3 linked regions of the Pelodiscus sinensis genome follow. The protein of the gene in region 3 interacts with the protein of the main gene of each other region in a biochemical or structural test. Links are inferred from orthologs where the notes say so. Each region holds a gene or a part of one and is shown on either strand. Other genes may lie near its edges.

What was found.
Region 1: the proteins of PPARG (region 3) and KAT5 form a complex in vitro, tested with the Homo sapiens proteins (2 studies listed by BioGRID, with this or other methods). The link is inferred for Pelodiscus sinensis from reciprocal best matches to the Homo sapiens genes PPARG and KAT5.
Region 2: of the proteins of PPARG (region 3) and NEDD4, one has a biochemical effect on the other in vitro, tested with the Homo sapiens proteins (2 studies listed by BioGRID). The link is inferred for Pelodiscus sinensis from reciprocal best matches to the Homo sapiens genes PPARG and NEDD4.

The regions. Positions count from the first base shown.
Region 1 is NC_134721.1:32,635,640-32,642,835, reverse strand, and holds the start of KAT5 (histone acetyltransferase KAT5), read right to left. Parts: upstream 3,026-7,196; 5' UTR 2,881-3,025; coding exon 2,869-2,880; intron 2,789-2,868; coding exon 2,722-2,788; intron 1-2,721. Other genes in the region: RELA (transcription factor p65), read left to right, coding at 6,659-6,674. UniProt on the Homo sapiens protein: Catalytic subunit of the NuA4 histone acetyltransferase complex, a multiprotein complex involved in transcriptional activation of select genes principally by acetylation of nucleosomal histones H2A and H4.
Region 2 is NC_134724.1:28,002,300-28,009,495, forward strand, and holds the start of NEDD4 (E3 ubiquitin-protein ligase NEDD4), read right to left. Parts: upstream 3,026-7,196; 5' UTR 1,131-3,025; coding exon 1-1,130. UniProt on the Homo sapiens protein: E3 ubiquitin-protein ligase which accepts ubiquitin from an E2 ubiquitin-conjugating enzyme in the form of a thioester and then directly transfers the ubiquitin to targeted substrates. Specifically ubiquitinates 'Lys-63' in target proteins.
Region 3 is NC_134721.1:47,571,856-47,578,809, forward strand, and holds the start of PPARG (peroxisome proliferator-activated receptor gamma), read left to right. Parts: upstream 1-3,933; 5' UTR 3,934-4,053; intron 4,054-6,954. UniProt on the Homo sapiens protein: Nuclear receptor that binds peroxisome proliferators such as hypolipidemic drugs and fatty acids.

The DNA.
Region 1 (7,196 bases), about 15 Mb from region 3:
AAAAGAAAAATATGTACATTAGTTTGATTCATTTCTTTCAGTTCTAGTCATCTGGAGCATTACTTTTAACTATTGGAAGTCCAAAAGAACAAGGTCACACAGCTAAGAGTGCAGGTCAACTGTTTAAGATGTTTACTGTACTGTGGAAAGCAGCAACTCTGAAAATGACATGAGGTCATGGTAGATAAACAGTTGAATATGACCTTCCAATGTGACACTGTAGCTAAAAGGGTGAATGCACATTAGATGGATAAACAGGGGTATTTCAGGCAGAAGCTAGGATGGGCTATGTACAAAAGTAACAGCATTACTGGATATTGTGTCCTGTTTGGATGGCCACACTTCTAAAAACAAGCTGACAAGATGGAAAGAGATATAAGAATGATTCAAGTGTTTGGAAGACTCGCCTGACAACGTGTGCTCTGTGTGACAGGAGGAGGTTAAAAGATGGCTGGACGACGCTACATGGGAAAAAGATTCTTGACAACAGAGGGGTTGTTAATGCAGCAGATAAAGCTAGAAGTTGATCCAACTGCTGGATATTCAGGCTAGAAATGACTTGGAAATGCATCTTTAAATCAAGATTAGACATCTCTTTCTAAAAGCTTCACTCTAGCTCAACTCCCAGATCTGTGCTCAATGCAGGAATGTCGGAGATGGAGTCTCAGGCTTAGGTAATGCTGGTGATCAGACTGGATGGTCAATCCTTTTTGGCCTTGGTCTCTATAAACTCTGCATTCTGGTTTGATCTCCCAGGTGAACAAGAATTTAGCAGAATTAGATGGGGGGGGGGGGTCCACGATTCAGAGACGGCACCAGGGTGGGGATGGGGGAAGAGGAACTCTCCTAGAAAAATAAGTTATTGGGATTGTCTGGTTTACAGAGCAGATGAAGAAATGACACATGATAAAAGTATATAGAAAAATGACAGGGATAGAGAATGGGGATGGGCACATCATTTCCATGTCTTGTAGCATAACTGCAATGAAAATTTCAAGAACACTTCAAAACCAATCAAACAACATTCTTTTTCATGTAATACACCACCAGCCTCTGGAACTCACTGGCACTTGACACAGTTAAGTGCAGGATCTCAAAGGAGACTGGAAGCTCATAAGGAGGAGACCATCGAGGGTCAACCCGAAAAAAAGAACAGGAGTTTTGGAAACCTCCCATTTCAAAAGTTAAGCTATCTTCTAAGTATTGGGGGAACCCACCTCCTATCAGGTTATTCCAAAACAATGTAAAAGTTTTTACACGTTCCACTGAAACACTCAGCTGCATGTAACCCAGGTCTGATCTAGTGTGGCAATTAATTCCTATGGCTGTGGTATTGTTTAAGTGGGAACACTTTGAAGAGTATAAATTAAGAATACCCTCTACCAAATCTAGCAGGTGAAATCTCTGCAGAACTTGGGAGGGTGACAATATAGACATATGAGAGATTATTATTTCAATAAAGTGCGTATAGAAAAATACATGATGTTTGCACTAGAATGAGGCATTTTTCATACTAGAGATTTTTTCTCCAACTCTGGCAGTGTTTCAGTAGAACCAACATTTTCTGGGTCAGGAGGTCTCTCCTCTGTGCCTAGCACTGCAGAGTGAGAAAAAATCCTTGCTCACAAGAGCTCACTCCCCAAGTATATTTGAGAGATATACTGGGAGAGAAAAATGCACAAAAATGTACCTTTATATTTGTAGGTACCAAGGGCCACACTCGCAGATCAGCACATCCCTGCAACATGTGTCCACACCAAGGCCAAACTTGATCCTCAATACAGTTATATAGATACCGGAGATCATTCTGATTCTGGGGCAGTGCCCTGGGTATTATCCAGAACAGTGTTTCTCAATCGGTGGTACAAGTATCCTCAGAGGTACTCAAGAGAAGTTTGGGGGTAGATCAACAACTGAAATTTGGAGAAAACTGATTTTTTAAAAAAGTTTTACAGCACTTTATTATTTTTGTATTTTTTACACCCAAAAATTTCATCGCCAGCTAAGCTACGATTAAATTATTTAAACAAATGTGTTGCAATGGTAGAAAACATTGCATGTCTGAAAACTGTAGGTACTCAAGGTACTTATGGTTTTTTTTTTTTTTTTTTAAAGGGGCTACCTTATACAAAAAAAGGTTGAGAAACACTGATCCAGAGTCTCTCCCACCCAAAGTGTGACAGCTCTCGCCTTCAAATGCTGCCCTGGGATCCTTGACCATGACCTGAAATGGAAGGGATTATCCCACAGCTTTGGGGCACTCCCTTTAACCAGGAGATGAGTTGGCAGTTCCAAAATGACAGGCTAACATTTCCCTCCCTAGGGAACCTAAGATGCATCCCAAAAGCATGGCAAGCACTAGAGATGACCAATCATTCCTACAATCTGGGTTCAAAGCCTCTAAAAGGAAAGAGATGCCCAGCTCCACGTGCTTACTGCCCCCCTCACATTCCCTGTTTCCCCCTTTCATAAATGATGCAGCCTTATCCCTTTTTCCAACTGAGGTCCCCCATTGGCCGATTCTTCTATCCTCTGCATTGGGCCCATTTCCTCCTATACACTGGTCTCTTCATTAGCCTTCTGAGACTCCCGCCCGTCCTCCCTTTCCACACGGCCCCGTGTCCCTACGTCTCCCAAGATATCCCCCGTGCCTCTCATATACCCTCTAGCCCCTCCTCTTTAAATCCCACCCCCATCATTTAGCCCCACCCCCTCACTTACGCCATTCATCTTCGTTATCCTGGTTGCGACGCAGCACGGGCAGCCGGCAGCCCTCGGTCACCTCTCCCTGCGGGCGGGATGCAGAACAGTTAAACAGGAACCCACAGGAATCCCCCCGCCGGACCCCACCCTACACATCCCACTCACCACCTCCGCCATCTTGAATGCTCGCCGGCGAGCGGGGTCTTCTCTTCCGTTCCCCGTGCCGGGACGTTTCCGGGAACGCGTGGGGGCCCTTCCGGTCTGTTATAGCTACTTCCGGTCCACTCAGTATATGTTGCTAGCGTTCGGCCCTGCTCAGAATTACTTCCGGCAGCATGATTAACTCCTTCCGGTCCCAGCGAGGACCCGCTCCGGGGCTGTTCGTGGCGTTCGCCTGAATCGGAAAGGAATCTGAGGAGTTGGCGGGACCGCAGTTAGCGGGCGAAGCACGAATGGCGACAGCGGGAGATTGCCCCACGTACGTGCGCAGCTAGCTGGGCGCATGGGAGAAAATCATGTGACTCGGACGTGACGAGGCCTCTGGAGCGTTTAGCCTCACGAGGCCGGTTGAGGGCCCGGCAGCGTTTCGAGGGGTCCCCGAGATTCGGCTTCCCCATCGCCTTCCCTCCCTCCCAGTTTCTAAAACCGCAACCAAGTAGAGGGGGGGCCTTCAGTGGAGCCGCGTGACACGGGCCCCTGGAGCCCTGGGCCCGACAGCTGCTGGGGCCCACAGCCACCTAACTTGTAGTAGCCAGAGACTCGGAGCCAGGGCTCAGGAGTTCAAGCTTCTAACATGTCCACCTGCTTCCCAGCCCTTCCTTATTGACCTCGTATCGCTGCCGGGGCAGGCGAAAAGCACCCTTTCTGTGTCCAGGTAGGAAGCTTAAAGCAGAACTAGGACTAGAGCCCAGCTTTCTAAGTTGGTGTGGCAGCATCTGTCTCCATAGATTTCCAGTAGTTTGCTGTGGCACCACTTGCCTTGCCTCAATGACCCCAGGAATCTTTAATCTTCTTTTAGAGGGCTTTCTAGTTCTGTCTTGTAAATCACCCTCATATCAAGTTCTGACTTAAAGAGGCTGTTAATAGGTAGCCTTTTCTCTATGCTTGCCTAGGATCCCCATGTTGCAAGGTGCTGTAAAAACATAGAACCTGCCTCACAACCTATAAATCCAGAAATGACAGGTGGATACAGCCATGAACAATGAGACAATCTGGTCTGCATGCTGGGCAATGGGTTCACCACCAACAATCTACATGTCATGCTTTTTGAAGCATCCCATCAAAGGATAGTTTGAAGGAGCTCAATGAGATAGCTTTGCATGCACTTACAGGGAACTCATAAACATGAGTGATAGCATAGGAGAAAGGATGAAGAGGCTTAGTAGAAATATAATAAGTATGCAGTAGGGATGTGAGTGTGTATCCAAGTACACGATTAATCAATGAGTCTGGGCTCATTGCTTAACACTGTGTTACACGCCCCCCCCCCTGCTGCCTTTGACACATAGGCAACAGAGGGGGGGAGGAGCCAGCTTTTAAGATGGTTCCCATGTGTACCAGCTCCTGTCAAACCAACCTCCTCCCGCACTGTTGCCTCAGTGGGTGGGAGCTGGTATGTGCAGGTAGCCTAGCCTTCCCCCCCCCCCCCCCCCCGTACTGCTGCCTCCCACAGAGCGGTGGGGGATAAGGAGGAGGTGGGAGCTAGTGCTCACAGGAAGCCTCCTGCCCCCTGCATTGCTTCCTCTGATACAGAGGCAGCAGGGGCGGGGGGGGGGGGCAGTGGGAGGGAGGACAGGAGCTGCTGCTGACGACAGGGACCTGACTTAAAAACCAGCTCCTTGCCAGCACTGGCTTCCGCCTTCCTTCCCACTGCATGTAAATGTGTAGCCACTGGAAAATTCAATGGTTATAGATTTAAAATGTGTTTATTTGTGTAACATCCCTTTTAGGCAGTTAATGCTTGGCAGCATGGGCTGAAAATGAAAATGTATAGGTGCTGGAAGTCAGGGTGCTGCTGCACTCTTTGGCTTGAAGTGGTTTCCATTATGTTTGTGGCTTACAGTTTGGTTCAATGACTCTCAGCACCTTCTTGTAAAAACTGTTCCAGCAGCCCTGTAAGAGATGAGTCAGATGGGGATTGGCAATGGAGGGCCTTGAAAGGGAAGAGAAGCAGCTTAGACTGATACAGGAGAAAAGGGAGGGCCAAGGAAGGGAAGCAAAGAGAAGTATGTCATGCTCAAAGTGAGAGCCTGAAGAATGATATTTGCACCAGAAAGGAAATGAAGCACAATCTCTCCAAGGTTATGTCTACACTGGCGGGTTTTTGCGCAAGAACAGCCATCCTTCCGCAGAGCCTCCACACTGCTCGCCAGCTCTTACACAAGAAGATTTACAGTAAAGTGTGGTAAGAGAGGGCTTCTTGTGCAAGAACTATGCTCTTTTCTAACAAATGTAAGCTCTCTTGCGCAAGAGGGCAGTGCGGACGCCCAGCAGGGGTTTCTTGTGCAAGAAAGCCCTATAGCTAAAATGGCCATCAGAGCTTTCTTGAGCAAGACAGCGTCCACACTGCCATGGATGCTCTTGTGCAAAAGCACATGACAGTGTGGCCGTGTTCTTGTGCAAGAGTTCTAGCACAAGAATCCTTGTGCAAGATGTTCTTGTGCAAGAAGCTGCCAGTGTAGACATAGCCCAAGAATTTGCTGGGGGCAGAGGTAAGGTGATATGGTTGTGTCCTCTTTAAGGGAGGCAGCATGAGTTTATTAGCTAATGGTGCCTATGGTGTCCTATAAACAGGGAACAGAACAACAGTGTTGCTAAGAAATAGCCTTAATGGGCCACCTCTGGGATTTGAATCCCCAAAGGCAACTGCAGGGCCATTTATTCAACCATTTACTGCTGTGGACATTTGGCCTAAAAAACCCAATGGGGAGGCCACAGCAGCTGTAAGACACATGTTTCCTGGTTCCTTTGTGGCCTTCTCATAGCCTATAGGGCACTATAATGTCCATGCACAGCCCCATATGTAGCCTTGTATCACCCCCACTCTGGTCCCTGTATAATGCAGTAGGCCCTACCCTACTCGTAGTATGGTTTATGTCTCATGAATTGGTCCCTCTAGTCAAGGGCTCCATAATGGTCCCGTGTGTGATTCCTGAATGACCCCAGAGCACTCTTGGTTAGGTTCTTAATAGCCCCCACGTTCCCAGCTGCAACATGGCCCCGCCGCCTCTCTTGGCTTTGCAATTTGCCCTGGCTGCCTTCGTCGCTTCTGCGCCTGCGTGGAATCCCCCCCCCCGCGCTCGTTTGCATGAGGCGGGGCTTTCCCAGCAGCGGGGCGGATCACGTGCTGCGGGCATTTCCGCGTGCGGCGTAGTTTGCGAACGGATACGGCGGGTGCTGGACCCGATCCCGCCGGAGGACCCCGCGTGGACCACGCCCCTGGCCCCGCCCCTGACGCGGACCCCCGATTGGGCCCGGAGCACCGCTTCCGCCTAGGAACCCTTCGAGGGGCTGGACCCGCCCACGATTGGACTCGTCTCCCGCCCGGACAAGCTCCTCGGGACGCCCCACCAGCAGCCCTCTCCCGAGTGGGGCTGGGACACGGGGTCGGGATCCCCCTCCCGCCTAGGACCCGCACAGGAGCCACAATCCTCCCGTTCCCTCTCAGAATTCTCTCCGTTGGGGGCCTCGCCCCACAGAGGCCCCCATCCCCTTGGAGTCTAACCCCCCCCCCCCCCCGCCTGCCGTTGTACTGAGACACCCCCCCGAGCTCGCACACGTCCTTCTTGTGGACTGGGGTTTGTTTCCTGAGCCCCGCGCAGGAGCCCTCCCCAGCCTCGTATTCCCTGGATTCTTCTGGCTCCAAAGCTGGGAGCCCCCTTCCTTGACTCCCTCCAGCCAGGGAGCACCCACCGCAGTACCTCCTGTATTCCTAGCCTGGAACCTAGCCTGACTTATGGCAGAAATGGAAGGTAAGTGTATACGCTCACCCCAGCAATAGGGACTTTCCTCAAATTCAGGACCCCCATTTAACTCTGGGGTATCTCTTCTCCTTACCTTCATCTCTGGAGGGTTTGCATGAAATACTCATACAGCGAGTTACTGGGACAGTTGGATGTGTAAACGCAGTTGAGCTCATACAGATGTGAGTGTGGGGGGAGCACCCATTACTGGAGTGCTGGTTATGAATATGGGGGGCTTGAAGAGAAGCTGGGATTCCCCAGGAGTCTGGGTTTCCCCCACTTTGTCCCTTCTCCCCCCACCCCACCCATTATTTCCTCAACTGGGCCTCTGTTTTGTTTTGGAAAAGTATTGTGATGGTGGCTTGTGAAAACTGCTTCCTAGGCCTTGGTTGGCAGTGATTTCCCTGGTTGCTTTGGGGGTAAGGCAGGCACAGTGGATTTGGGATCTGAAATGTGGGAAAAGGAGAAGAGGGGGAATTGGTGTCTCTTAAGAAAGGCCAACACACTGGGAAAAACACAGGTGGCAGGATC
Region 2 (7,196 bases), on a different chromosome or scaffold from region 3:
TGAGTGAAATGAACTGAAATACAAGAGAAACTATCAGATGGCTTTTGTTCAACTCTACTTGTGGCCTGATTTTTGTCTTGTAATGAATTATTCAAGTAAAGGGGTCTAATGTCTCTAGTGTCACCAGGAGAGCCAACCGTTTTAGACAGTCGAAGTCCACTGACTGATGTTGAAGTGAACCCTGTAGAAGTTGCTTGATCTTCATTCTGTGCCAGTTCAGTAGGAGAAATAACTAATCGATGTGATGTTTGATAAGGTCCTCTGCTTGGCAGGGGACCCAAACATGTTGGAGAAGTTGGTGGGGTTGTCGAAGGATTCCTAGGAAAGATTACCAATGATGAAAAACGCCGTAGTGGAATTTTAGTTTTCCTCCTCATTGGCAATTTCATTTGCTCCAAACCATCTTGATCAAAAGCAGTATTATTTTTACTTCTACATGAAGTTTCCTGAGATATATTGTTCCTATAGGAATTACATTTGTATGCCGTGCTTCTATATGAAGAAGTACTATATACAATATTACTACAGAAAGTATCACCACCTGTGGAAAGAGTGCAACTACTACTGTCACTGATGATACTGTTGCTGAATGAGTCTCCATCACTAGTGATACTTGCACACGATTCATAGTCACTCCCAGTGCTACTGAGGTATCCAGTGTTATTGGCTGCAATATCACCTAGATTAGTATTGCACATGGTAGCATTGCTTAAATGGCTGCTACTATTTAACATATTAGATCTGTAATCAGCCATATTCCTGCTACAAGTGTTTCCTTCATTACCAACACTGATGAAAGGGTCTTCACTAGCAACTACTGCATCAGATTGAAAACATTCACTATACCTTCTAGACTGCAGGGAAATCTGCAGTGAGGTGCTCTTTTTGTTGTTCTTTTGCAGTGAAGAAACAGTTGAATGCTGCTGTTGATTAATTATTTCCTGCATTGTAGTTGGAAAGCCAGCTTGCCTGGGAGTCAGCTTCATTTCTATAATATCAGGTGCAGAATTCTGTGAAGGTCTTTGGAAATACACATGAATGTTACTATCCAAACCATCGCCAGAGGTTTCTGATAACGGATCAGTGTTGCTTCTTCGGGCTGCAAAATGCAATCTTAACCGTCGTGCCATTTGTTCTCATTTGCACACATGTTAGCAAGTAAGAACCATAAAGCTCCTTTTGCAGAAAGGCTAGAGGCAGCTGCACAGAACTGTGATCCAGTTCAAACACATTGCAAAAGTGAGATCCCATGAAAGATGCAGCCTTTGTCCCTATTTCGGCAAGACAGTAACTAGCACCTCCTAAAACAAGTCAGCCATTCCTTGAACTGTGGTTTCTGGGCTGTCTGTTTGTAGACAGAATGCAATCACTTAAAAAGCACTTGATTTCCAACGACCATCAAGATTAACTCAGCTGCTGTATACTGACACGCTGCCAAACTTGTTTCAATGTTACCTTCTGTAATGTACATAAATGAATATAACCCAAGAATATTCCAGCTCTCAGGAGTTTAAAAACAGAAAATTTTGCAGCACTTACACTAGCTTAACCAACATGTCTATGCTCTCTGCGGCAGCGTATGACTACTAATATTTTTACCCACAGGTTTAGAATTACAGGAAGTTGGTAGCAATGAAGTCCCTTATAACAGAGTATCAAATCTAGGATTGAATTGCCAAATAGTAACCCATGCAAGTAAACTACATCTGGTTATGCAAAAACCAATGAACTAAGCCATTTCATACTAACAAAAGGTTAAAATTAGAGTTATTTTGAGAGTCCTAAGAAAACTACTGGAATTACACTTAATATGGTTCACAGTTCATGGAATCCTACAGTGCCACATTACTTCAGTTTTTAACAAAGATATAACTGGGTTAAATAAAACCATAAAATTTCCTCCTGATTAAAAGCTTGTCGCTCAAGGTTTCAGTGAAGCCCAGAGGTTCTTTTCTAGTGAGTATATTTTAGTCTTTCAGGTTAAAAGTGTGCTGAGTTAGACTTTTCACACTTTTACAACTTTTTACATTTCAAACTCAAGTGCTTAAATTGTTGGTCAGCAGTCCATGTTCTGGACTAACGTCTGGTTATCTACGAATTAGAGAGGCAGAGTATGAAATGTTCAACAATGCTTTTGGTGTGAAATCTTCAGGTCCGTACCTACAGAGATTTTATATGTATTTATCTCACACACACAGTTCATATGAGGTCTTTCTACAGCTGTACAGTATATGCTGCATATTTAAACAACTGCTTATATAGCATACAATTCACAGATGAAGACTACTCCAAGCTACATTCCATAAGGTACTGTATGCACACTGTACAGTAATCTTATACATTCACAGTTAACTACAGTAACAAGAATAGAAAGGAGGTGCAATTTTAATAAAGTGCTTTGAGAGCCACTATGGAAACACAATTAGACTAATCAAACTAAAAATATACTGGTAATTTTCCCCAAAAATGAAAGACTAAAAATGACAATTTCTCCAGGCATTTGCCATATTGACAGAAAAGGCCCTTTGCTGGCACCTAGTGGGACTTTTGGAAAAAATGTAGTCTTGCTGTGAAGTGTCAATAGCAGTGAACAGAAATGATACTTCATGCAATACTAAATGCTAACATATTAAGAAGGAATGAATTACTGGTCTGGTAAAGCTCAAACAGGAGGAGAGAACACTAGACCATTTATCCCTTCATCATAGGTCAAACTGTTGGATATTTTCTGCTCAATATTTACATGACCTTTTCTATATTTTTGGTTAGTATGCAGTAAAAAGAACAGCTTTATCCCCTCTCCAAATAAGGGCCAGGACTAAAGTTAACACTACTTAGTTTGCACGCAAACAAGGTTTTTTTGTTAATACTCCAAGGTTCATTTAACCTCATTACCCACATTTTAATGGCTAGAAATTAATCAACATATAATAGCTTATTTACTGTCTTTTTTATAACAAACAGTTCAGCTATTCCACCAAGCATCACTAATCAAAGTTACAGTGTGGGTTTTCAAAGAGCTGTTTTGGTCACAGGTTCAGAAAGTTATGTATAACCATTAAGTAATACAATTTTTTTTTTTTTGAGTTTCAAGTTGATAAAGAAGAAGCCTTAAAAAAAAAAAAAACTAGAAACAAAGAGACTTAAGTATGACTCGGTTAATTTAGTCTACAGGTTAACAAAATTAAACTTATCAATTTACTTGAGGGGTGGGAGAAAGAGAGGGTAAAAGAAATGCTAGGCTCCTGGGCAAGGTGACTGCATTCCCAGAAGGGGCAGGACTGAGAATAGCCAGCCCTCAGCCTCACCCATAGACTGTGCTGGGTACTTCCCTCCCCCGCAACCAGCCCTCAGGAGTGTGCTCCTCAGGGCTGTGACCTCTATTTAAAGGGCCTAGGGTTCTGGCCACTATCACTGCTGCAGTAATAGCAGTAGTGGCCAGGAGCCCTGGGCCCTTTTGAATTGCCAGGCCCTGGGACAGCTGCCTTTTTTAGCACCCTCCCACCATCGATGGGCCTGAAGTTATCCAAGTCTGCTATAGAAAGTAACACTCTGATAAAAGTCTTAGCAACATTCACCACAAGAGAATTAGACTTTTAAGCATGATGTCTCCTCCTTTACTAAGAGCTATGCTAAGTAAAGCAGTCAGAGGTTTAGTCATGTAGTAGTATTTTTAGATTTAAGTGTGTCCCTTCACACTAGATAATACGTTTCTTGAAGCATGATCTTCCCTGGTTACTTTGATAATGAAATTACTTCAGATCCATTATGGTCTGGTTGATCATTGGCTTACTGATGTATGTTGCCAGCTCTTTCCTCACATCAACAATCCTGTTTTAAATCTCACAATCCAAGATTTTTGCAATAGTAATGACTACAGTTCACTGGTACTTTCCTCGCTGCATAGGTGTGAATACTATGTACTGGGAACACTTTCTCCCACATTAAACTGTTCTACTAGGAAGTAGTAACCATTGTTACCAGTCAGTATCCAGATTGTGAAGAAGTGCAATAGCAAAACTTATGTCTCACATAGTTTAACAGTTACCCAGTTATGGATAGCAAAACCAGCAGTGTCTGGCCACCTATAGGTTTCTTGGCTAGTCACTGTCAATCCATCAGCTACAAAAGAATCCTGCTAGTGAATACAGCTGGACCTGACAATCTTGTCATTTAGCAATGAGTTCAACACAGAAGCCTTATTTACTTCCACCTCTCTCTCCAGATTGCTCTACTTCATGAGCATTACTGCCATGCTTGCTTTCTAAAAATCACAATGAGGAACTTCACAAGACAAGAGGTTATAAAGCCCTGAACTGCCATTCTTTTGACAGATTCTCAGAGGCTAGTGCTAATAGAGAATTTTGCCTTTTCTCTAATCTTAGGCAGATGAAAGTACATGCTGAAAAATAATCCATGAAGCTTGCTGGCAGTGTAATGCAGGCCTGTTTGGTGTGGCACTCTGATCCCTTCTAATGGTACCTAGAACATCTCGAGATTGAGGCATTTACTACAGCCTGAGCTAATCGTCATTTGGCCTTTAGCTCATGCAACATGGGTTTATTCAGTAAGCTTCAGAGGTCTAAAGTTTGATCCCACCTGTTGACAACCAGCTGCAGTTGAGATAATAAAAATGATTATTGCTGAACACATTAAGTGTGAGAGAAGGCACTGCAATCCAGAAAGGCAACATTGTTATTAAAACTATACCACAGATTAATACGAGGTTTAGTTTTAAGATGGATTTGTCAAGATCAAATTGTGTCAAACCTAACAGGGTAACAAGCCTTATGGGATGGGAGGAGCGGTAGATGTGGTTTACCTTGACTTTAGTAATGCTTTTGATACAGTCTCACATGTTCTCCTTAAAACAAGAAAAACACAACCTAGATGGAGCAATCATAAAGATGGATGCATAACTGGTTGGAAAACCATTTCCAAAGGCCAATGAGGTTCAACAAGATAAGCGCAGAGTCTTGCACTTGGGACAGAAGAATCCCAAGCACTGTTATAGGTTAGGGACTGACTGGCTAAGCAGCAGTTCAGCAGAAAAGGACCTGGGGATTACAGTGGACGAGAAGCTAGATATGATTCAACAGTGTGCTCTTGAAGCCAAGAAGGTTAATGGCATATTAGGGTGCATTAGAAGGAACATTGCCAGCAGATCTAGAGAAGTGATTATTCCACTTTATTCAGCACTGGTGAGGCTACATCTGGAGTACTGCATCCAATTCTGCCCTCATCCCGACTCCCTGCCCCCATTACAGAAGAGACATGGACATCCTGGAGAAAGTTCAGTAGAGGTCAACAAAAATTATTAGGGAGCTGGAGCACAAGGAAAGGCTTAGGGATTTGGGCTTGTCTACTGAAGAGAAGAGTGAGAGGGCATTTGATAGCAGCCTTCAAGTACCTGAAGGGAGATTCCAAAGACGATGGAGATAAGCTGTTCTCAGTAGTGACAGATGACAAAATGAGGAACAATGGTCTTAAGTTGCAGTGGGAGAGATCTAGGTTGGATATTAGGAAAAGCTATTTTAATAGGAGGGTGGTGAAGCACTTGAATGGGTTCCTTATGGAAATGGAAGAATCTCCATCGCTAGAGGTTTTTAAGTCCTGGCTTGACAAAGCCTTGGCTGGGATGATTTAGTTAACGTTGGTCCCGCTTTGGGCAGGGGGCTGGACACAATGACCTCCTGAGGTCTCTTCCAACCCTAATATTCAAAGAGTGATTCAGTCAAGCTGGAAAAGCATACTGAGTGGAGTCCCTGAGGGATTAGTTCGAGGTCTGGTTCTGTTTAATACGTTCAGCAACGGTTTAGAAAATGACACTTAAAGTTCGCATACAATACCAAGCTGGGAGTGTTTGCAAGTGCTTTGGAGGACAGGATTAGAATTCAAAGTAATCTGACAAACTGAAGAAATGGTCTGAAGTAAATAGAATGAAATTCAAAAAGGATAAATGCAAAAGTACTCCTCTTAGAAAAGAAAACCAATCAGTTGCACACATACAAAACGGGAAGCGGCAGTGTAAGCAATTTAGACTGCTATCGAAAATAAGATATAGGTGCTTTTAGAAATTACACCTCTAGTTAACAACCAAATCCCAGTGCCTTTTGAGTACTTCTATTATAGTTTGAGGGAAAGCTGATGCACAAAACTTCAAAAGTCATTCTAGAGGTTCATTTGCCAATCTGCTAAAACAGCTGATGCTCTTGATGGCCAGTCTCCAAGAAGGCAGATTAAAAAAAAAAAAAACAATATTTTTATAATATATTAACTATTTAGCTAAAATTAGCAAGCATCAAAAACAGAGTTCTAAAAATAAAATGTATTTTAGACATTCTCAAATTTAAGGGTTACATTTACTAATGTAATTTAAGAAATATGCTGTATCATTGAGCTTTCAAGTTGCTAAGTGAAAAAGGTGCTTCTTTTTTTAAAAAATATACAAAATAGGGGAAAGCCTATCTTTTGATATCAATTCAAACTGTCAGTTTTGGTTTAACAGAAAAGATTTTGCCCTAATTATTTTTAGATTCAGCTTACATAGCTGGTGAAGAGAAAATATTTTCTTTATTTGGACTAGTTCATTCAAAGTTAAGAAAATGAGTTGAAAAAGCAGGGAAGTTTGTTTTCTTCCATCTATGACTTAAAATAAGGTTGGAGAGGATAAGCTCTCCTAATTCTAAAGAATTTGAAGGACATAGGGCCAGAGTTTCAAAGATATTTAGTCATCTCAAGCTGCAGAGAAGTGCCTAGTGAGATTTTTAAATACACCCAGGAAGAATAAGTGCCAATATACGCCTTTAGAGTCCTAAGTAGAAAGTTTGACCCACATTGACCAGAAAGTCAACTAACTACAGTTAATACTTTAATATATTTTTAAATTTAAGATGTATTTTGATAATTTTTATTTTCTGTATCCAATAAAAAGATCAATTTTAAAATGTTCTCTATACATTTTAAACTGAATTCCAGTTTTCATCCAATCATAGGATGACAAATCCATAGTGAAGGCGTATTGTAAAAAAATATTAACAAATTTGAATAAGAGTATGTTAAATTTTATTTCTTAAATAGATATTTATAGGGATCTAGTGTATCCTCTGGCTAGCCAACAGTAGTACACCAACTTTAGTTAAAAGGCTATATTTGGTTTAATCAACATACCAGTTCATGATAATGAACCTTTTAGG
Region 3 (6,954 bases):
CAAAACAAATAAGTTATAACTTAGTGCAAGCTGATAATTTAACTGATTAATAACATAGTAAAAGCATCTTGATTGGTTAATATCTTAGGTTATTAACTAAATCACATGGTGTTAATATCACCTGCTGCAAAGAACCACAGGAAACACATTGAAGAGATACTTGCAATTCACAAGCCTCGGCCAAGTATCACTGCTTTAACAGTATGACCATCTGTCTTCTTGATGCTAGCACAGCACTAACTCTTATTTATATTACAGTTGTATCTACAAACCCCAATATTTACATACACTTAATATGAGACTGTCTCTGCCACCAAAAAATTACAATCTAGACAAAACTGAAAAAAGATAAAGGGGTAACAGACTGAGAGATGAAATGACTAGTCCATGATCATTACATTCTTACTATAAAACATTAACAATTATACAAAATGTGCACGTAAAGCATTAGGTAAATCACTGTAATCTCCCAATAGGAAATAGCTGGCCTATACAGTTACCAACTGGCACAAGTAAAAAACCAAGCTTGTGTTGGTAAACCAAGCCAGATAAATACAAATTAGAAATAAAGTTGTTTTGTATAATGAGGGTGAGTAACCATTGCAACAAACTACCCAAGGAACTGGAGTACTCTTCATCCCTTGAGGTCTTGAAATCAAGACTAGATATCTTTCTGAATCAATATTTAGTCAAACATTAAGTTATTGAGCTCAATATAGCAGTAAGTAGGTGAAATTCTATGGCTTAGGTTGTAGAGTAGGTCTTTATCTATTGGTCCTTTGTCACCTTAAAAATCTATGAATCCATGAAACTACATGCTTTTAGGAAAAAACCCTGCTCCCTGTATTTACCAGGTGATAATGTCCTGTCCTGAGAACATAGGCCAATGGTAATAAGCACTCCTGAGTTTTAAAAGTTCTTATACAAAGGATGAGTATGTTCTAATGACGGTAATACTTGTAACTGAATATTCTGAGCGTTCAGGTGGATTGATTTCTCTAAAACCAGTCTGAACAGGAGTTGGATATACTGCCATTTAGTCATGCAGTTGAACTAAACCTGAAGTTTGTTGTTTTTCTGAGTTGGTTGTGTATTTCTTAGGGCCTTATACACATAGTTAAAGGTCCTAATTATATGTTCATAAATGCCAACCAAATTTGGCTGGGCTACAAGTTTGTGTGTACAAATTAAAAAATAACACATATGTTAATCCTCAGATTTTCAAGAGAGTTCAACTATTTGGGGTAAATCAGGGGATCTCAAACTTCATTGTATCATGACCCTTTTCTGACAACAAAAATTACTACACAACATCAGGAGGGGGGACTGAAGCATGAGCCTGCCCAATCCTTTCCACCCCAGGTAAGGAGCCAAAGTCCGAGGGTTTCAGCTCCAGGAAGAGGGCCTGTAATCTGACCCCACTGAAATGGGATTCTAACGTACAGTTTAAGAACTACTGGGCTAAATGAAATATCCAGATTTTCAGAAGTGCGCAGCTCAGTAGCTCCCACTGAGAAAATGTTTAATTCTGCTGGTGACACATCAGGCAAAGAAGCATTGGAACTGCTGGGGGCAGAGCATTTAAAAAAAATCTGGCCATTTCATTTAGGTGCCTAAATAGTAGTTGAGTTACTCTGAAAATGTGCCCAGTATGATTTAGATAAAGTCACACAGCAAGGTAATGTCAGAGGCAGGAATGGAACTTTTGTGTCACACATTGCCTCCTTTGTGAGTACAAATCTGAAAAAATGAGCATAAGCCATTATTTTGTTTATGATTTGACTATAGAACCACAGAGACTAATTCACACAAAATGTACCCATTGTACTGTTACATCCATCCCTACTCTTTCCACGTATGTCTGTTTATTCTGTTTATCATCATCCTAGATTGTAAATTTTCTGGTGCAGAAACGGGTCTAGGTGTTATATCTATAGCGCCTAGCACAAAGGCCTCTGACCCTTTATTGAAACCATTTGGAATTAATGCAGCATTTAAAAGTTATAATATACATAGGGAAAACTACAGCAGAATGAGGTAAAATATTGCTACACAATGGATTTCTAAACTAATTGTCCAAAAAATATCCGAGCATGTGCTGGCAATAGCTCTCTGATGTGTCAAGGACTAAATTAATAACTACTTCAAACCTATGCAGATAGATAATTCTTGCATTTTTAACACACTGCTTCAATCCTCTACTGATAGACAGACTGTGCCAATAAACAAAAAGCTCTTGGCCATGCTACTGTCTACAGATAGGTTAGGTACATTGGTGTATTTAACTCTAACCTATCAATTGCTTTAGGTGTACAAATAATAAAACAAATGTAGAATTTCCTTTTAAGACGTTTCATGACTAAGAACTATGAGACATGTTGGAGGATTGTCTGGAATCTCCTAATGATGTCCAAGAGATCAAGAGTATTCAGAGAGAAACTATTGTATCCTGGGGGCATTTTGAATTACAGTATGACTCTCTAAAAGTATAGCTTATGACTTTCTTTTCCATCTGCTTGCCAAAAGCAGTAGAGAAGGTGGACTGGAAAGAGGTATTATGCTGCCTGTTTGAACTTGCTCTCTGGAGCCTCTTGAAGGAAGCCCTACATCTCTGGCTCTGGGACCATTCTTCTTCTGCAATGCTGTGGGAAAAGGACCCTTGTAAAATGAAATAAAAAGGAGGAAGGGATATACAACTTCACTATTACTATGAACATTTTCAGGGAACTCTCTAATCCCATTGTAAGAACATTGCATGCCCTGAGGTGACAAAAAGAGAAACTCCATGCGGGACAGAAAACTGGAAAGGGAAAGGGAAAGCGACTACTGATTGGGCAGCTAGAAATCCTGCATTGAGGGTACATCTAGACTGCACGCCTTTTTCGACAGAGGCTTTGTCGACAGATACTGTCGAAAAAGAGCATTTAGACTACAACCTGTACTGTCAACAAAGCAAGCCACTTTTTCGAAAGAGTCTAGATACTCTCTTTCAAAAAAGCAGTTTGCCTGCAATAGTGCCTTTTTTTCCACAGAGTGCTATCGAAAAAAGGCATGATTCCTCGTAGAATGAGTTTTACCGCCGTCGACAAAACTGCCGCGTTCTGTTCACTTAGGGTACGTCTAGACTACCGCGTTTTGTCGACGGAAGTTTTGTCGACAGATACTGTCGACAAAACTTCCGTCGACAAAGAGCGTCCAGACACATTGAGTTCTGTCGACAAAGCAAGCTGCTTTGTCGACAGAACTCCGTAGTCTGGACGCAATGTTACAGGCAATAACACCTTCTGTCGACAGAAGGTGTTATGCCTCGTAAAATGAGGTTTACCAGTGTCGACAAAACTGCTGAGTTCTGTCAATGTTATGTCGACAGAACACAGCGGTAGTGTAGACGCTGGTATAGTTTTGTCGACAAAAGTCCACTTCTGTCGACAAAACTCGGTAGTCTAGACACACCCTTCCTGTCGATAGAACAGAGCGGTAGCGTAGAAGCAGGTATAGCTTTGTCGCCAAAAGCCCACTTTCAGCCACAAAACCCTGTCGTCTAGACACAGCCGCCGTTACACTTAAGAAAAGACCCGCAGAGTTCAGCTTTCAAAGGCCGTAGGGGCCAAAATCTCTCTTCCACTACACATCTGTAATTTCACTGAGATTCTCGAGGCTGCATGGGCAGGACTCGCCGGACTGTGGCGATGGGTGAGAGGAAAGAGAAGCCACGCATCCCACACACTCCCTAATGCCACATACCCCAGCTCTCTTCGTGCCACACGCCTTTCTGCGCCCTGGCCCCCGGCCCTTCTCCACCGTCCCCCTCAGGGTCCCCTTTCCCGCCAAGGCTCCAGCGCCGGGAACCAACGGCCCACGCTGCCGCTCGCGCAGGAGGCCCCCAGCCAGGGCAGGGCAGCGCGGCCCGAGGCTCGGGGAGGGCCAGCAGCAGGGCGTGGAGGCGGCGCCTGCCGAGCAGGGAGGCGGCGCCCGTCGGGAGGACGGGCCGGGCGGGGGAGTTTATCCCACTAGAAGGGAACAGTTTCTCCTGCCGAGGCTTGACAGCGCCAGGTCAGTGCGCGCGCGGCTGCGGGGTGCTCTCTGCGGGCAGGGAGGGGGGAGTGCAGCAGACGGGGGGGGTCTCTTTGGAGTGGAGGTGGACAGGGGTGTACCCCGGGGGCGGCTGGGGCTGTGGGGGTGGGGAGAGGGACATATCCCTTGGCGCAGGAAGCAGGGCTGTGCTCCGGGGGATATTTGGGGCTGGAGGCAGGGGGCTCTTTGGTGGGGCGGCTTGATGAAGGGGGGGGGCTTCATGGAGTGCGGGCATGGCGGCACGGGATGAGTGAGGGAGGATGGGGCTAGTGCCCACGGGGGGGCTCTCGCTGGCCAGGGCGCTGCTCCCAAAGGGGCTTGGGGAGGAATAAAGAACTTGGTGCATGCAAGCCCCAGGGGGAGCTGCGACCTTGGGGGCATCAGGGGGCAGTGAGATACACACAAGGCTTTACCTTTGGGTGGCCTGTGGAGTTAGGAGCATAGGTTGGTCTTGGGTGCTGTGTGATGAAGAGGTGGATTATACTGGTGGGGGCTGAGTCTCATGCAGGCAATATAAAGGGTGGGGATGGTAAATATCAGTTAATTGAACAGTTGATTAACCTCATGAATTCTTAGCAGATACTCTACTATTCTATAGTTCCCCGGGGATGGGGCCAGCAGCCAGTATGTTCCGGCTCCACTCCCGAGGAGCCCCCTGCAGTCCGCGCTGCTGTCTCTGTACGCGGGGTGCCAGGCGGGAGATCGATTGTGAGGCGTTTCAGTTTAAAAACTAGCTCCCCTAATGGAAGAGCTGCCTGTCACCCCAGAACTGAGCTGGCCTGCCTGCCCGCCTGGATCCTAATACACTTTAAATGCTGAGCTGCAGCGGGGGTTGATCCCGGAGGCCAGCCTGCTAAAAAATTTACTGGTGGGAGTGTGTGTAGTCTATAGCATTAACCAATAAGATTTTGCTTATTGGTTGATGAGTGAATTGACTATACTGTTACGTCTCTAATAAAGTGTATTGGGGATAGGCAGAGGGACAGGGTAAATGAGTGCTGTATGAGGATGTGGGAATGCACACAGAGACATACGTCCATTATTGCTATATGTGTGATATTGAGGTATATAAACAATAAACTGTGAGCCTCTGGTACATTGTGATATTTGCAGGTGGCTATTTCCCTTGTTACAGTATGTGGAGAGGGGAAATAGCTGGGGAGTGTTACTCACTTTACTTACCTGATAATGAATGAAAAGCATCATTTTCTCTTTGACTTCTCAATCAAGAAGAGTCAGGAAGTCCTGTGTTTAGTCATGCCACAGCAGAGATATTATGTTGAAATATATTATGTATGGGTGGCATCCCCCAGGCTTGCAGTATTTTGTAATCCTCCTGGTGTCATTTCTCTCCACGGTATTCTATAGCTGGGAACTGCAAGTTCTTGTAGTGTTATAACTTCAAGGCAGTATATGCACATGATACAGTGCTGTGATAGTATTTTATTATAACATTATATCATGAAATTAGACAGATATCTATGTGTAGCCATTTGGAGGTAAGCATAGGAAGTTATAAAGAAATGATCAATTGTTACTTACCTTTGGACTTATTATTTAATAGTCTTGATACATTTAAGTTAAATTAAAAAGATCAATTATAATTGCCCAGATATTTAAACAGAGAATGTGGATTGATACATTTTGTTTGTGGCCTACTCTCTACATCTCCAAAAGAGTTGTTTGTCTGGAATGTTACATTAATGTTTGTCGGAAATATGAACCAATGTTCAAAAATATATTTCCCCCTACAGTCTACCTACGCATAATAATATGCATAGAGTAACTTTTTAAAGATGATAATAATGCATTACTTGTTAGAAGAAGAGGACCCAGTGTGGCCCCTGGGGTACACTGGAACTTGTATAACTTGTAGTTCCAGTCTACCTTTTCAAACTAGTCATGTCTATTGTTCCCTTATTGATATTAGAATATCTTGTGCATAGTTATAGTGAACATTTTTATGCCCTCTAACCTACTGGAGATTAGTGTGAAAAATTAGCAGAAATGTAAGTATGAGACAATGAAGAATCACTTTTAAAAAATTCTGTGCAAAGTAAATTAGAATGTTGTCAGTTGGGGGAGGTATTTGATAAAATGGTCAGACCTAGATGTTCAGATTAGCAGGTAAACATCAAAATAACTGTGGATAGGTATTCTAATAGGAGCTACTTTCAGATTTAAATCTTCTTAGACATCAGTTTATTAAAATATTGCATTATTGGTTTACATTTTTATATATTCCTGTGAGTAGCTCTAGAAGAAAGCATCCATTCCTTGATAAATAATACTTGATCTGAAAGGTATGTTATGCTGTGTCAGATGTTAGTGTAGCATGAAAAGTTTGTCATTAGATATACTTTCTATGAAAAAATATTCTCTTCCTCCCTGTTAAGTATTTAATATAGTCAGACGCCACAACAAAAAGCCTATAAGATGGTAACATTGATCAATATTTCGGCTTCAGTTTTTAACTTTTGCGTTATGATACCGATATTGACATAGCTTCTGAATCTAAGTTTTTTCTACTTGACTTTTCTTTCAGTTTCTATAGATCAGTTCCTAAATTCAGGCCCAATTCAGTTGATCTCAGTATAAATGTATTCTATATAGTCAGTACTAGAATCGTTTTAACCAACAGTTTAATCAGTCAATCAATAAATAGTGTAAAAGTAGAAGCAAAATTGTTTTGTACAAAGATAGGCAAACTAGTCACTGGAAATTTGTCTGGAAGCACCTTTTGATTTTTTTCAGGTGTATTAGCTATTCGAAAAATTCAGAATTATTTTACTGGCTATTTCTTATTCTGTAACTCAGTTGTCATTAGTTAGCTTTGGGTATTTGGTATTTGAAACTTGAGTGACTTAAATTATTTTTTAT